2 linked regions of the Caenorhabditis elegans genome follow. The protein of the gene in region 1 interacts with the protein of each later gene in a pairwise test. Each region holds a gene or a part of one and is shown on either strand. Other genes may lie near its edges.

What was found. Proteins that work in one complex are often made in the same cells at the same time.
Region 2: the proteins of pab-1 (region 1) and skp-1 interact in a two-hybrid assay, tested with the Caenorhabditis elegans proteins (one study listed by BioGRID).

Annotation. Positions count from the first base shown.
Region 1 is NC_003279.8:10,430,632-10,438,568, forward strand, and holds pab-1 (Polyadenylate-binding protein), read right to left. Parts: upstream 4,608-7,937; 5' UTR 4,601-4,607; coding exon 4,345-4,600; intron 4,294-4,344; coding exon 4,100-4,293; intron 4,048-4,099; coding exon 3,457-4,047; intron 3,411-3,456; coding exon 3,126-3,410; intron 3,078-3,125; coding exon 2,664-3,077; intron 2,614-2,663; coding exon 2,413-2,613; 3' UTR 2,230-2,412; downstream 1-2,229. Other genes in the region: Y106G6H.1 (Saposin B-type domain-containing protein), read left to right, coding at 147-444, 1,069-1,440, 1,492-1,652; rpl-30 (Large ribosomal subunit protein eL30), read left to right, coding at 5,633-5,656, 5,837-5,985, 6,039-6,213; madf-10 (MADF domain-containing protein), read right to left, coding at 6,281-6,690, 6,735-6,930, 6,979-7,077; pdpr-1 (DAO domain-containing protein), read right to left, coding at 7,657-7,833.
Region 2 is NC_003283.11:11,643,856-11,652,194, reverse strand, and holds skp-1 (mammalian SKIP (Ski interacting protein) homolog), read right to left. Parts: upstream 6,715-8,339; 5' UTR 6,698-6,714; coding exon 6,678-6,697; intron 6,633-6,677; coding exon 6,476-6,632; intron 6,431-6,475; coding exon 5,345-6,430; intron 5,296-5,344; coding exon 5,199-5,295; intron 4,417-5,198; coding exon 4,289-4,416; intron 2,341-4,288; coding exon 2,221-2,340; 3' UTR 2,105-2,220; downstream 1-2,104. Other genes in the region: Transcription factor zip-10, read left to right, coding at 1,444-1,632, 1,684-1,992; Chromosomal passenger complex protein bir-1, read right to left, coding at 6,921-7,265, 7,310-7,432.

The DNA of each region.
Region 1 (7,937 bases):
CTTTTTCCTATGTTTCGACTTAGGCTTAGACTTACGTGTTGGCATGGAGAATTGCATCGTGCCTACGAACGCGTGTCTCACGCCTACCTGCCCTGTCTCTTCTCCGATACTCCTTCACAGGCTGTATATATATGTCTATTTTTCAGTACTACATGAAACGTGAATCAGAAGTTTGTAATAATCAAATCACCGATCTTAACTCCATCACCGAAGATCAACTTTTCGGATACTTCTCCACACTTGCTACTGCTCATCCAGGACCATTCTGTTCACTTTGTCATAGATTTGCCGAAGAAATTCATTCAAAAGTATTGAAACCAAATAGCCTTCTGATTACTGATGATGAATACCATATTTCACATCTTCTCTACAATCATTTTCCAAAGCCAAAAGCAATTTGTACAGCTATTGCGCCGGGATGTGATGACGATTATGCAGCGAGGGGTAAGAGAAATCCGATAGAAATTGAAACTATTTTTCGATTTTTTATTCAGTTTTTGAAATTATTTTTCTAGAAAAAAATTATTGAAAAAAAAAATTATAAACTTCACGAAGAAGATCCTTCATGAAAAATTCAGCAGATGTTCTAAAATTTTAACTTTTTTCTAATTAAAACGTTTAAAACTAGATTTCAGATTTTTTTTAAACCCAAAGTTCGAAAAATCTCCCAAAAAATATTAAAATCATATATTTGGAAATTAAAGTTTAAAACAAAAATGTGTTTTGCATCAATCACATTTTTCCAGTGTTATGCTTTCGAAACATCACTTTAAAAATACATTATTACACAGTTGTTGTGAAGTTTACCGATGTTCCATTCAAAAATTTGGTCTCACCACGAAGACTTCACATTTTTCAGAATTTTGTACGATTTAGCACGTTTTCAGAGAATTTCCTGATTTAACAAGAGAAAAAACGTTTAAAAAAATCGAAATAATTTTCGAATTGAGTTACTGTAGAATAAAGGCGCACACCTACAGTCTTGATTCGAGAATATTTTGTTCGTGGCGAGAGTTTTTAAGCAGAACCACAAAAAATTTCGCAACGTGGAATAATTTTCAATTTCAGTTCTAAACCTGACCGAATCAGTAGTCTGCCTGGAATGTACCGCCTGTATGTCCATCACAAATGTGCTTCAACATAAGATCTTCCTTCAACCAGCCATGCTTGATCAGACTTACTATTGGCTCCGCGGAAACCTTTTCCACAATTTGTGTGCTGAACTTTGTCTCGCATTCCAGGGATTAGATATTCCACTTTTCCCGCATGGATTTACTTATGACGGATGCCAGAATGTGATGAAAAAGAAGTTTTATCAGCTTATCGACGTTGCAACAGTTATCACTAGACCCGAAAGATTTTGCAGTTTGGAGCTTCAATGGTGTGAGCTCAATGAGCAGCCAAATGCACTTCATTGTCTACGAGAACTTTGTCAAGAGTGTGAGTTTTTCTCAACTAAAGATAAAAATATAAACGAAACCATTATTACAGATTTCAAAGATACTCCACAAACTCGTTGGCTTTGTAGTCAAATTCCAGATAGACCGGAGCAAGCAGATGCATTTTTAAATATTCGACAAACGAAAGTGAAAAAAGAAAAGAAAGACTATCATATGGAATTCGAGAAAAGAAACCTTCACGATGAACTTTAGACGTTTTCTTATAATTGCATAATTTAATTTTTATAAACTTTTTACTTTGCTGATTCTTCTTTTATATTTTGTGTCTTTAAACAAAACGCTGACTTTCCTTTCTCCAATATTAATAGTCTCTAGAGTCACGAACAGTAGTCGAATTCCTGTGTTCAAGTAGTAAATGTTTACTCTCACCGGATACCAAAACTTAACTCATTTTACTAAATGTTCACGATGAAACGAAGTGTAGCATTTTGTTTAATATTAATTCCTATAACAATTTCAACGCAATGTTTCGTTTGCGATTCATTTCAAGGTTATTGTGATTTCGATGGTTCAACATGTGTTGGTCCGAAATGTTCGAGACGAACAGCGCCCATGACTAGTGAGTTAATTATTATACAATTGCAGTCAGCTTCGAATTTCAGATGGTTTGATACGTGAACAACGAATTTGCGTTCCATCCGATTCTCCTATTGGGTGTAGAAAAGCTGTTTTGTGGGATGAGATGGAAGGTGTCGAATGCGTTTGCGAAGGGCATCTGTGTAACATTGCTTCTTTTTTTTCTATAACTTGCCCATTAACATTGATTATTTTTATGATTTTATTTTAACGTGAATAAACATCACAAAAGTGAGCTTACTCAAGGGGTGGGGTGTGGGGCGGCTAAACCAACCACTAACAAGTAACAAAAAGAAGGGTGACAGTAAGAAAAAAAAACAGGAGATGGGTATGCTTAGCAACTGGGGGAACGTGCTAAGAGCACTTGGCAATGAACTTATTGCTTCTGAGCGGAAACGAGAACCGATGCAGCTTCGTCGACCTTCGAGCGGAACAATTCACTATCTTGAAGCATCATGATCAACTCGGAATTGTCGATTTCGAGCATCATTCCTGTGATTTTTCCTGCGTCCTTGTGTCCCGGGTAGAGTTTCTCAATGAGAGCGTAGATACGCTCACCAAGAAGTTGCTTTTGCTCCTGAAAAGATGTATCATGAAATTAAGTATTGCAAAACAAAGTAAGCTTACCTGAGGAGCAGCAGCGGCCAACATTGCAGATGTGAGTGGCTCTTGTCCTCCAATAACGATTCCTTGTGGTCTTTGCTGGTATGCCTGATATGGCTGTGGTGGAGCCTTTGGTCCGGTTGGAGCTGGTCTTTGCTGCTGTTGTTGCTGTGGTGGACGTGGAACGTTTTGCTGTTGGACTCCAGGATTTTGGGTGCGTGGTGGTCCCTGCATGCGGACGCCTCCTTGAGCGACTTGATTGTACTGCTGTGGTGGACCGCGTGGTCCTCCTTGTTGGTTCTGTGGACGTCCCATGCGGTTTTGGTAGACACCTGGGCCTTGAGCCATCATGTACTGATTTTGGACTGGGTACTGATTTTGCATTCCCCAGCGACCTCCTGGGCGAACCATCTGTTGTCCACCGGCGAAGTTGCGCTGCTGAAATAATAAATTCGAGCATTACAAAAAAAACAACAAAAAACTAACCTGTTGCATCGGATTAGCAACATAGTATCCTGGTCCTGGCTGTGTTGGGTTGTACATGGCTGCTCCTGGAACGTTGCCGTGCATTCTCATGCTTGCAAGACGTTGCATGTATTGAGAAGCAAGCTGTGCACGACGATCTTCTTTACGTTGAGCAATAGCCACATACAATGGCTTTGAGCACACCATTTTTGAGTTCATCTCAGTCACTGCACTTGTAGCTTCCTCCGGCTTTTCGAAGCAGACAAAACCGAATCCCTTTGATCTCCCATTTTCGTCAGTCATGACCTAAAAATATTATGTATATGATAGCATTTTGAAAAAGTTTACCAACCTTAGCACTCGTGATGTTTCCGTAAGACTCGAATTGCTTCTTCAAGCCATCATCATCGACAGTCTCGTCGAGGTTTTTGACGTAGAGATTGACTCCTTGATACTTCTGCATACGCTCAGCCTTGTGTTGCTCGTGCTTCTTTTTCAATTCAGCGTGTCTCTCAGACTTCTTTTGGGCACGGCAGACATGAAGTTTCAAGTCAGTTCCCTCGATGGTTGAATCGTGAAGAGCTTGCACAGCAGTCTCGGCCTCTTCTGGATTAGCAAAAGCAACAAATCCGAATCCCTTGGACTTTCCCTCGACAGTCATGACTTCGCAGCTGGTAATGTTTCCGAACTTGGCGAAGAGCTTCTCAAGGGTTTCCTTGTTGTAGTGATCTCCAAAGTTCTTCACGTAGACATTGGTGAACTGTTTGGCAGTCTCTCCAAGCTCGCGATTGCGTTGAGCACGTGGCTGGAATTTGCCAACGAAAACCTTCTTCCCGGCCAGAAGCATGCCATTGACTTTTTGGATAGCATTTTGGGCAGCTTCCTCGGTCTCGAAGTGAACGAAACCGTAGCCTTTGCTGAATCCGTCCTCGTCGATAGCAACCTGTACAACATAAATTGAAGGCGGTTTGGCAATGCTCTAAAGAAAACGTTACCTTGCAGGAGAGAATGTTTCCGAACAGGGAGAAGGTATCGTAGATTGACTTGTTGTCGATGACCTTATCGAGGTTCTTGATGAAGATATTGCCAGCTCCCGAACGACGCATAGCTGGATCTCTTTGAGACCACATGATTCTCATTGGTTTGCCGTGAAGAGCCTCGAAGTTCATGGTGTCCATGGCACGTTCAGCTGAAAATTGAATTGAATTAAAGATTGAAGTGAATTTGGAGACAAACAAACCATCAGCTGGTTGTTGGAAGTTGACGTAGGCATAGCCCAATGAGAGACGAGTGGCATTGTCTCTGCAGACACGAATAGAAAGAACAGGGCCGGCAGCGCTGAACTTCTCGAACAGGATCGACTCGTTGACGTCCGGGTGGAGGTCTCCGACGTAGAGCGAAGCCATGGTGTACGACGAGCCGGTCTGATTTTGGCCTGGTTGAGGAGCAGCAGCGCCAGCAACGGCGGCAGCGGGAGCAGCGACGTTCATTTCCATGATTTTACTGAATTGAAGATTGAATAAATAGAATAGAAGTAATATTTTAGTGACCGTCACGTATTTCCGTACTTTTTTATTATGGGTGAGGAGTTGGGTCACGGAACAACGTCTAGCGAGGAAGTCAGGCGACGTCTAGCCAGACCGCGGGTTAATGTAGTGTCTGCCTACCTACAACTAAAGAGCAAATGACGATAGTACGCTAAGAATAGCAGAAAGGGCGGAGTTAGCCTAATTGTCTAATAAACGCTCACATCTCGGGACCTGGGAAGTATCGATCGGGAAACACGCAGCAATTATTCGTATCGGTAAAAAATTACTTGTTATTCAACAAAAAGAGACAGAAAACTATATGTCCTTCCCAAATAATCATAGAAAACAATTTAGCACGGAAACAAGTAACGGTTCGAATTACGAAATAGGAAAAATCAATAAAACTCACGTTTTGGTGTCGGATCGTCCAAAGAATAATTTTTTTGGTGATTTTTAGGGTTTTTTAAATTTTTATGGGTTTTTGAGCAGTTTAAATTGGGATTTACTGTCCTTTTGCTCAGAGCCAGGAGAACTCGGATCCCAAAAACCGGAAAAAGACACACTAGTGTTTCAAGGGAGGAGGGAATGTGCCGATGGGTCTCGCCACGAAATGCATCGCGAACCGTAGTTATCGCTGCTTTGCCCCTATTTCTGGCCCAAAATCTGATACTTTTCGCTGTTTCGTTTCTTTTTTGCAGAAAATTATGTTTTTGAAACCAAATTTTAGTTTATTCGACTTATTTCTGTTTTTTAGTTGCAAACTTTCAACAGATAAACGCCTTTTTATATAATTCTTCAAGCTGTAAACTATTATAAATTGAATTTCTTACCACTTATTTTTTGAGACGTTGAAATTTTCTGAAGTAGTACGGATGATCGCTTTCGTAAAGACGTTTTGAAGTTATTTGTTTTTTAATGTGCCGTCCTTCTTTTGCTCTATTTACGTGGCTCAAATTAGAAGTTCACGCAGTTATTTTTTCTATTTTCAGGTAAATCATCATGGCTCCAGCTGCTAAGCCACAGGTTAGTGAAGTTTCTCTGGAGTTAAATTTTCGAGCAGCGATGGAGTAATCCGGAGCTCGGGTGATTTAATTGAGAAGGAGTAGCTTCCCCGCTCATTCTGTCACGGGCTTCGGGTGCTCAATGTAAGCGCTCGCGAATTCTCCAATATTCGAACGCCTGATGATCCATATATTCGTTTAGGTCAAGAAAAATGCTGAGAACATCAACTCCCGACTCTCCATGGTCATGAAGACTGGACAATACGTCCTCGGATACAAGCAGACTCTCAAATCCCTTCTCAACGGAAAGGCTAAGCTTGTCATCATTGCCAACAACACTCCACCACTCAGGTAAATCAATATTTATCATTTCGGATTTTTATTAACTCATGATTAATTTTCAGAAAGTCCGAGATTGAGTACTACGCCATGCTCGCCAAAACTGGAGTTCACCACTACAACGGAAACAACATTGAGCTCGGAACCGCCTGTGGACGTCTCTTCCGTGTGTGCACCCTTGCAGTCACTGATGCCGGAGACTCCGACATCATCCTCAGCGTTCCATCTGAGAGCGCATAAGCTGTTTGTTATTGTTACAATAAATTGTTGAAAACAGTTTAGAATCAGTATTTTTAACACAAATTGTTTATTGCAAATCAGGTGCGGCTTTAGTAACACTTTCCAGTTGCGCTTCGTAAACGATGTCACGGATGGACTTTTGGATCTTCAGCCAGTGTATGCGATCCTTGTATCCTATTTCTTTCAATGGGAGGTACAACGATCGACAGAATTCCATGTACTCGTCAGATGGCATTTCTTCTAGTTTCTCTTTCTTAGAAGAGGGACCTTGGTATAAATCGTACGGCTGTCCCTGGAATTGCATCGGACGTTTTTTCATCACAAAATCGTTTTGATTCACACTGTCCAGGAACATGAGCGAATCAAAAAACTTCCATTTCGGTCGTATAGGGCATCCATCATGATCAAATGTTAACTTCCGTCGAGTTTTCACGTATGTGTCTTTCAGATTTTTCCAATGCTTTTCGATTTCTTCGACTGGAAAAAAACCAATTATAACTGAAGTAGAAATGATAACTTACTTGTGAGCGGAGGGCTCAACACGAACTGTTGATTAATCACCTCAACAACTTCAGCAAAGAGATTTTTCCGTGCTGCCGAGCTCACTTTTTCTCGTGTTGAATCCCAAAGACCCGGTCTGTGTGCAATTGCTTCACACATTGCAAATCTAACACTATCTGTTACTTGACGCATCATGTACTGAACCTCTTCTTTTTGCTGAATTTGTTGTGAATTTCAGTGTTATTTAGTTGCACACCTACATACCTGAGGAACAACATGTGTCATGTGAGAATGTGGTGTAGGACCGGTAGAAGTAGACTGACTTTGATGGCCCTGATGATTTTGGTGACTCCATTGGTCCATTGCTCGATAAACTAAGAATATTTTCAAAAAACTGACGATGTTGATGATCGAAAGAGACAGCTATCTAAACTAGTTTTAGTTCATAGTTTTTGTATAAACTTTGTGAGATTATATTTTTAAACTATTAATTTAGACAAATCTCTCCTATTTGGATATTCGTAATTATTGAAGCTTTCTAATTATTTTTAATATCTATCACTTCAATTGAAAAGTCGAAGCATTTTGAAAAGTTCAGCTCGAAGTCTTTAAAAGTCTTTAAAACAAGTCTTTAAAAAATGGTCGCGTCGTCGCAGGACGTCGAAAATTGATCGGTGCGACGCGTGCGGTGCGGCGTTGCGTGCTGTTGCAGGGATTGTGAGAAGCATAGAGGGTGCAGAATGTCTATTTATTATGAAGTATGTGAGGGGGAGCAGACACTGGGTGGATGAAGTCACAATTACAATTATCGTACAACCAATATGGCATCGAGATTGAGAAACAAAAAAGAAAAAAAGTACAAAGTAGGAAATTGAATTCTAAATTCAACATCTGGATTCAGCTAAGTTGTCTAAATATGTTCACTAAGATGGCAAGAAGCAATCATTGAGTCGGTCTGTAGTGAAGTGGATGCTCGCTGGATATCATTGGAAGTGAAGGTGAATGAACGTTGAGACGGCATGTGAACCTTTTTCCAGCTATATCAATTTCAAAGTGTCCAGATGATACAAATTCAGGTGATACTCCAAACTCTTTATTTTCCACGTAGCCAATGCAAACCTGAAATACAATTTTTGAGAAGATCATCCAGTTTTCCCAACATTCTTTCTTTCGTTAATTATCCCACTGTCACCTACTGTTCTAGTCTCACCCAACATATGTCT
Region 2 (8,339 bases), on another chromosome or scaffold:
GTTCGTAAAGGTAATAGTATTAGGACAGAAATTCAAAAATGGTGTGCTCATTCAGGTACGCTTGCTCACTCTGCATTAACGTACTATGGTGCATCTCCTTAAAAATATAAACTAGAAATAAATTAAATATACATCGTGGTGAGCAGTTAAGAATTTTCGGGTACTTGATTAAACCTGATGTACAGTGTTTTTCTTAAGAGTATTCATCTAAAACTGTACTCTTTGAAAAATATATTGCGTTAGCTAATAATAGGACAAATACGGTAATTCGATAAACTTTTAAAAAAACCTTTTCTGAAACATGAAAAATGTATTGTATAAATTTCAATGTGTTAACACATGGAACAGCAAAAGTGGGCAATTGCCACGTTTTGAGATTATTAACAATTTTACCAAAATAAGCTCATCGCTTTTACTTTTCCATGAAGTCAATTCAGTTTGTATAATTGCTAGAAATAAATACCGTATTCTTTGTATGTATTATTACTCTTACTACTTTATTTACAATTTATTTACTTGTTAGATTTCTCATATTTTATATGTGTTTGGCTTAACCGAATATTAGAGGATAAAATATAGATAAAGATGTATTTCAATATGTTATAATTTACTTGAAAACAATGGAGATATAAAATGCAAGTATGGAACGATGTCAGTTTAATACATAATTACAGAGAGACTACTGTATGTCTTCTGATTTGAACTAAAATTTAGTATTTATTTAAAAAAACTGAAAACTTATTCCGCTCTATTGATGGCTTCCACTCAAACAAAAAATGCCTACTTGCGTACCTATGAGGTAGGTAATATTTGCAACCATATGTAGGTCGTCTCCAAGAAAGATATTGCTCGGATATACAGCTGGACATAACTATGGAGACATAACTACGCTCTTGTATGTACATACCACTAAAAAAATTCAAATTTTGCTCACTATGAGATCGAGTTTTTGTGCGCACAACTCGGGTGCTCATAATTGTCGGCCAACTACGTAGTTGGATGCGTATAGATATTATATTGAACATAGTCTAACATAAGTTCCTATTATTTTCAAGAGTCCATTTTGTTCCACTCAACCCATCAATTCTGACACCATACTCCACAACCACACCCCAATCGGAAGTCTCCGAGACGGCATATGGGTTACATTTTCAGCGAAAAATTTCAACTGAACACGTCATCATCATTGTCGACCTTGCTCTTTCAGCTGATAACAGTCGTGTATTTCAAACACGTACACAAAAGTCACAAATTTTTTTCGAAAAAAAGCGGAATGCATCGAAATGAAGTGCGGGGGAGGGGCGGGAATATGGGCGGTGCTTGTGTTTCCAATTACAAACATGGAAGAAATGATAAGGAACGAAAAAGTGGGTGTCCCCCTGATGCAAATGTATAAAAGAGTTATCATCATTCAAATTTCAGTCCACATTTCATTCCTGAAAAATGACAACAATGACTAATTCTCTTATTTCTAATTCAGTTTCCTCTGTTCCTGAATCTCTATTCTCATCAGCTTCAATTCATCGTCCAGTTGCTATTAATCCAGCAATGCTTGCTCAATTCAGCATCAATCTGCCTGTTTTGCCATTTGAAAGTTCTGCTTCTTTGGGAACATCTACCACATCCAGCTCGGTAAGCATATCATATTTTCTCAAAATCTTGTAATATTATTTGTATTTTCAGAGATGCTCTTCAACTGAAAGTTCTGCTGCTCCTGGTAAAATCCGTCGTGGTCGACCACAACAAGAAATTGCAGATGGACAAGATGCTCACAGTCAAAAGAAGCGTCATCGCCGTCTTTATGCTCGCCAGTACCGTGCTCAAATGCGCCAAAAGGTGGAGAATGTGAAAAGTCTTCATGATGAGAAGGAGCAACTCGAGTTGGAAGTAAAAGCTCTCCGGCAAGCAGTTAGTGGTCTTCAACAAGAAAATGCTCAAAAAGATTTCTTGATCAGTATTTTGCAACTCAATAATCAAATCAACCATTCCTAAGAACATCTTCAATATTCCCCTCTCCCGAATCCTCTTTGCCATAATTTTTCAAATTCGCTCATTCTTTGCTGACATAATTTGGTCTTCTTTCGAAATGTTATTAATAAAAATTGACACGGTTTTGATTCATCTTTGTGCAAACATCCAACTACAGAAGAGTTACAGAGATTCTTTCCAAAAAAGAAGTTGAGAAAAAATAACAGAAAACAAATAAAAAATATATTAAAATTAGTCGCGTCGAGACCTCTTTGATTCTCCACGGGAGTCTCCACCATCCCCACCTCGTTTCTTTTCTTTGGTGTGCTCGAAAAGTGATGACAATCCGAAAACATCTTGATCCTTCTCGAACTGAAATAAAAAGGTTAACATTTTGTAGTGATTCATAAATGCACAGTGACATTTAATGTTTTATGACTCATTGATAAGTAAATTTTAGAAGTAGTCACAGTCATTTTAAGAGCATCTTTTATGCAATTTCCTTATGAAATCTTTAGAAATTAGGTTTCAAAAAAATAATTCAGTAAATACATATATTTCTGAATACTACGGGTCCACACACTCAATTTCGCAGATGGAATTTTCTAAATTTCAATAACGTTCGATTCACAGTTAAACTCAATGCGTATAAACTATTTCGTTGGAATCAAATGCACTTTGACCAGATTATAGCATTTTCTACGCGTTCTGCAACAATTCGATCGTCACACGCAAACATGCCAAATCGGCCGCCATCGTGTCTGTCCTGTAATTCTAGACGATTCCGCATCGTCATCATTTTCTTGATAAGTTTATAATAAACTTTGTAAGAAATTTCGAAACTATGCCATGCACAATCACGATTCGGAAATATTGTCATGAAATATACTAGAATTATCATTGTCATTCTTAAAATGGCATGAAAATCGTATTTTCTGTCATCATCATCATCTAATGTTTTGCCCTTTGAACGCTGCTTGAACCAATTTATAAATCGACACGGATGATCGTTGGCTTATCCGCTTACTGCTTATCACTCAGTTTAGATGTTAGTCTACAATTAACACCATTTCGCCGAAAAAGTTTACCCAGCTCCCCGAGTTCGCTGCAAACAATTCCGGAAAAAAAATACGTTTCCTGTTCAAATCTAAACTATGAACATGGTTTAAACATTTGAAAAATTGGTGTTTTCAATATAGTAAATGCCAAATTTTTCAAAAATTTCAATTTTTTGATAAATTTCGATTATTTCTACAGGTTCGATCCCTAGAATTTCCAAATACGAATAAATACTATAAAAACTGGGAGGACAACTGTTTATTTCGTCCACTTTCATAATAAGCGAAAACTAAAACTAAGATTTTTTTGTTAAAAAATGCAATACGTATTTTTAACTACAATGCCACTTTGAGAGTGAAATTTTGATTTGAGCTGTTTCATTTACACGTATATTCGGAGCAAAAAGTTATCATTTCCTAAAAATAGACCGAAATATAGTCAACACCGCTCTAGTTCTGTCTAGTATTTCAGTCATTTCAACTTTTAGAGTAAATCACATGTTGGTTCTAATGCTTCTGGCTTGTTGGTGATAAGACGTGATATTTCGTAAGTACTGATAGTGATTGGGTTATGAAAGATGCTCGCAAACACCAGCCTCCGTAGACACAACTCGATAAAATGCTGATCGTTCAGCTCGAAATGTGACTAGAAACAGTAAAGTAATTTAATACATTTTATGTGTTAAACTGAAGAGAATCTGCATCCCGAACTTAAGTAAAAAGAAAAGCTAATCGGCTATGATAGAAAAGATATAATTAGTTTTTGTTCAATAAGCTCTGAGCATTGTATAAAACTACAATATTGATGAATCCATAATTATTTATTATAACTCTAATTAGAATATCTAAAATTGGTTAACTTTTACAATCAAATTAATCGTGAGTTAAAATACATCAATAGTTCATTTCGACCATAAAGAGAATGGATGAAAACTGAACTTTGACATATTTTAATTATTTTAATCTTATTTTATCAATAATGTCAAACATATTACGCACGACAATTGAAGCTCATAAACCAAGAATGTAAAGAATCTTTTCTACTTCCAAAACACACTGCTGTGCGTGTCTTTTCGGAATGACGTAAATTAATGATCCATTTATGATAATGACCGCACAAATCAACGAATTGGTTCAATTCGTCGTTACTTATCAGTCAATTTTTGACGCTCATCAACAACGAGCCAGCGCCCAAATTCTCAAAATTCCCAGCTATTTTAGTAACGTAGTTAAAATTTCTGACAACAGATCAACTGACTAACCTGAACAGGTCCAGATCCACGACTCGAGCCCTCTGCTCCTGAAAATCCTTTATCAGCTACAAACCGATTCTTCTGTTCGATGATCTTGTCCAAATCGCCACCATAAACATCGTTGTCGAGATTTTTGCCTGCAAAAGTTTTATAAATCGTCATTTCTTCCTGTTTTGACAAAAATACAATTATTTTCGAAATTCGTATTTGCATAACGTCATTTTAATCGTAATGACTGCAGTACTACAAACGTCTTATCAAATACTAGGCACCTAAGTTGTGATTCTATTTTTAACGACAAATGAACCAGAACGGACATGAAAGTCAAATACATCAGTATCATCAAAGAGTTTTGTGAATTCCAACACCAATGAATTAGAAAAACAATAAATTTTAGAATGTCACAAATTCCTCAGTTCAGACATACATTAGGAAATCATTTCAATTTTGAAATATTAAAGAACTAACGGTTCTAGTTATTTTTGAACGTTTAGATTTTTATGGCGGTTCGAAATTTAGAAAAAATGAATCAATTTTGGCGAATTTTTCGTGTCGCAGAGGTTCAAAAATGATTTTTTTTGAATTATAATCTTTTTTTAAATTTTAATATCACGTAATATCGTCAATTGAGGTACTTTTTAAGCAAACATAGGTAATCAATTTCGGTAACCTTTCGATTTTAAATGTACCTTAGAATAGCATAAGATAAACTGCCAAAATAAGATTTCAGCTAAAATAATGTTTTTTTTTGAAATTTTAAAACGCCATAAAACTTTTTTTTTGAAAAACTTCTGGAACGTTTCATTATGAAATTCGTTCATTTTAGAGCATTGTGGGTATATATATATATATACATTCAAAATACCTAGACCCGTTACTAATTTTAATTTATATTTGAAAATAAGCAAGAAAAACTAACTCGGTCGATAAACGTGCTGTTGAACACTGTCACCGCCACGCCACGCAGCATCATAAGGATTGTAAGTATCATCGTCCATTGCTCCACTGTCGAGTCCCTGAAAAATAAATATATTAGTTAAATTTTATCGAAGAAGGAACTGAAACCTGGGTTTTATCAAACAATCTTTGATCGAACTGTGGTTCGCCAGTTCGTTTCTGATTCGTGTCCGGCAAACCAAGCACAATTTTCTCCGAAATATCTCTTTCACGCTCTTTGCGAAGCTTGTCAGCTTTATCTGGTCGTGAACGAGCAATATTTCTTTCTTTCCTGATATCGTCGAGACGATCACGTCGAATTTCTTCGCGAACTTTGACTTGTTCATCATCTTCATCGTCCTTTCTCCGCATCGCTGATCTTTCCTGGCGGGCTTTTGCTGCGGCTTCTGCCATTTTAGCCTCTTGCTCAGACTTCTTATTTTGAGCAACGCGTCTTTCAAGCTGAGCACGTGTCTCAACCTCTTCACGAGCTTTTCTATCAGCAATGTACAAAGCATCAGCAAGCTTCGCAAAGTTTTCATTAATATGAGTCTGTTGGAGACCACGTCCATCAGCAGCCAATCGTTTGTCCAACCCAACTGTGAATCCTTTTGGATTTTTCCAATTTGAAATACATGGTGGAATCTTCCAATCGTTTTGATCTTTAGCTGTCATTTTTCTTGGAGGAGAATGCATGACTGGTGCCGGTGGAGATGGTGGTGCTCTAGGAATCTTCTGATTGATTTTGAACTTTGGTGGTTCCATCGGATCTTTTTGTTCTTCAACCATTCTGATGATGCGCTGTTGTGATCCAGCAGCTCCATTCTGCTGACTTGGAGTGTATCTGATATATTGAGCAGGTGCTAACTTGTCGGCATGACGAACAGGAAGTGCTGAGGCTACTTTTGAATTTACGATTTTTTCCAAAGCCATTCTTGTCTTCTCCGTAGCATCGATAACAGCGTCATCGTCTGGTTTCTGAATATCATCATCATCCTCGTTCCACGTCTTGGCTTTCATATCATTAAGCTTGGAGTAGACAACTTTATCCTTAACATGTCCGATACGAGCAATAGCATCGTGTTGTAACTTTCCATCAGTTCCATATTGCAAGGCGAGCGTATTTTCTGGCTTTCCTCTCATATCTCCAAGACCTAATCCGAGAGGAAACTGAGCAACGTGAATTTCAGGGAACGCTCCGCCATCGCCAAAATCCTGGAAAAGAAAAATTAAGAAGAATATTAATATTTTCAATCTCACTTCAGGCCCTCTTGGTCGAAAACTGGTCCGTTTTCCGTACGGCGGTGGTTCCTTCGATACGAGTGCGGCGGATGGTTCGTTATCGCGCCCACCAAACCAAGGATCTCGTCGAATCTGTGAAGCTGCTTCGTCTGCCGCCACAGGAGCAGGAAGGATACTAAAAAACATTGGTTTTACATGATAATCAGTGAAATACACTCACTCTCGTAGTTTCATCGACATCCTGATGAAATACTGTCCTGAAATTGTTTTTTTAGACAAAAAAAGAATCAAATACAAAACTGGAAGATATTGTAGTGCCGATGAAACACAAGTTATAATTTCAAAACAAAAACATTGAATGAATAATAAAATAATGAATTAAGTGTTTATTGAACAGTGATTAAATCGAGTATATGAGATCAAATCAATAATTGGATAAGTTGCAGTAAGTGATGTAGAAAAATTATTTGCCGCGGCGGCTGTTAGATTTTGTTGTCGATGCTGTGTTCGGTACTTTTTTCAGCTGATCGAAGAGAGCATCAGAAGAAGAATGATTAGACAAATTATTTATCATCATCTCATGCTCAAAGAGTTTAGTCATAATCATGGCGGTTTGTGAGAGACGAACGGTATCGTTAATAGTTAATTCCGAGTCATCGAGCTTTCCAATCCGTACAAACTCGCACGGTTCATCACGTTTCGTGTGCTCGTACCACGGATCGTCTTCTGGGTCAAAATCAAGTTCCTTGTTGCAAAATGCACATTTGCCAGACTGAGGACCGGTGCAGTAAAATCCGGCTTGAGCAACCTAAAACAAGAATAATTTTATTTAAAACACGAAAATGGACAAACCGCTTGAGACGTGCATTTTGCATCCGGGTCTCTATCATATTCGAAATTTTTGAATGTCATCAAGCGATCTTTGTAGAATGTGAATTTTGCCATATCCGACTTTTTTTTGGTCCCGGGTGCCATTTTCTGAAATCAATGAAAAACAACTAGGTATCTTAATCTTGAGGAATCTATTTCGAACAGGTAGAGATTAAAAATTCGAAATACAGTTAAGAAGATTTGAACTAAAAACCACAATTCCAAAAAAATAAGTTGAAAGCGTTGAAATCGATTGATAAAAGGAAAAGATAAAACGAGACTTACATTGAAAATAATAAAACTTCGTGGCGTATTTTAATAGATTTCGAAAATGAAGTTTAATTTCATGAAATTCGCGCATCCACGCCACGTGGTTTTATTTTTTCAGTGTGTATTTAAATATAAATGAAAAACAAATCTCAGAAAACATTTATCGAATAAAATGTTGAAAAATCAATAAATGTAGCTCGCGTCGCACTGACGAATTTCGCGCTGAAATATACAGCCACCAAGAAAGCTAGGCCACGGCCATTGGTCAGTAGAGCGCACGTGCGCGCGTACCAAAACCTCCAAGAAGACAGGAAACTCAATGAGTTTGTTGAAAACTAAACAAATTAACAATAACTTTGATTCAATGGAAAAAGATTCTATTAACTTTTTAACCGGACGGTGTCGATCGAGCCTGCGGCTCAACCTCTCTCAACTGGCTAAAACTGAAATTTACCGTATTTCCTCTATTAAATAGTTAGGCACCTCTATTAGTTTTGCACCTCCATTAGTTTTGCATCTAAAATCACTAATCGAAAATTAGTTTTGCACGCTCTATTAGTTTTGCACCTCTAATAGTTTTGCACCCCTCCATTTGTTCCCTATTTTTAGGAATTTAAAATTTGCATTATAAAATCGTTCTAAAAATTAGGAAAACTCTTACAGACTTGGTATAACAAGTCAAAATTGGCAAAATATGAGTACAATTCGGACAATTTTTGCGTATCAGTCGTAAAATTCGTCC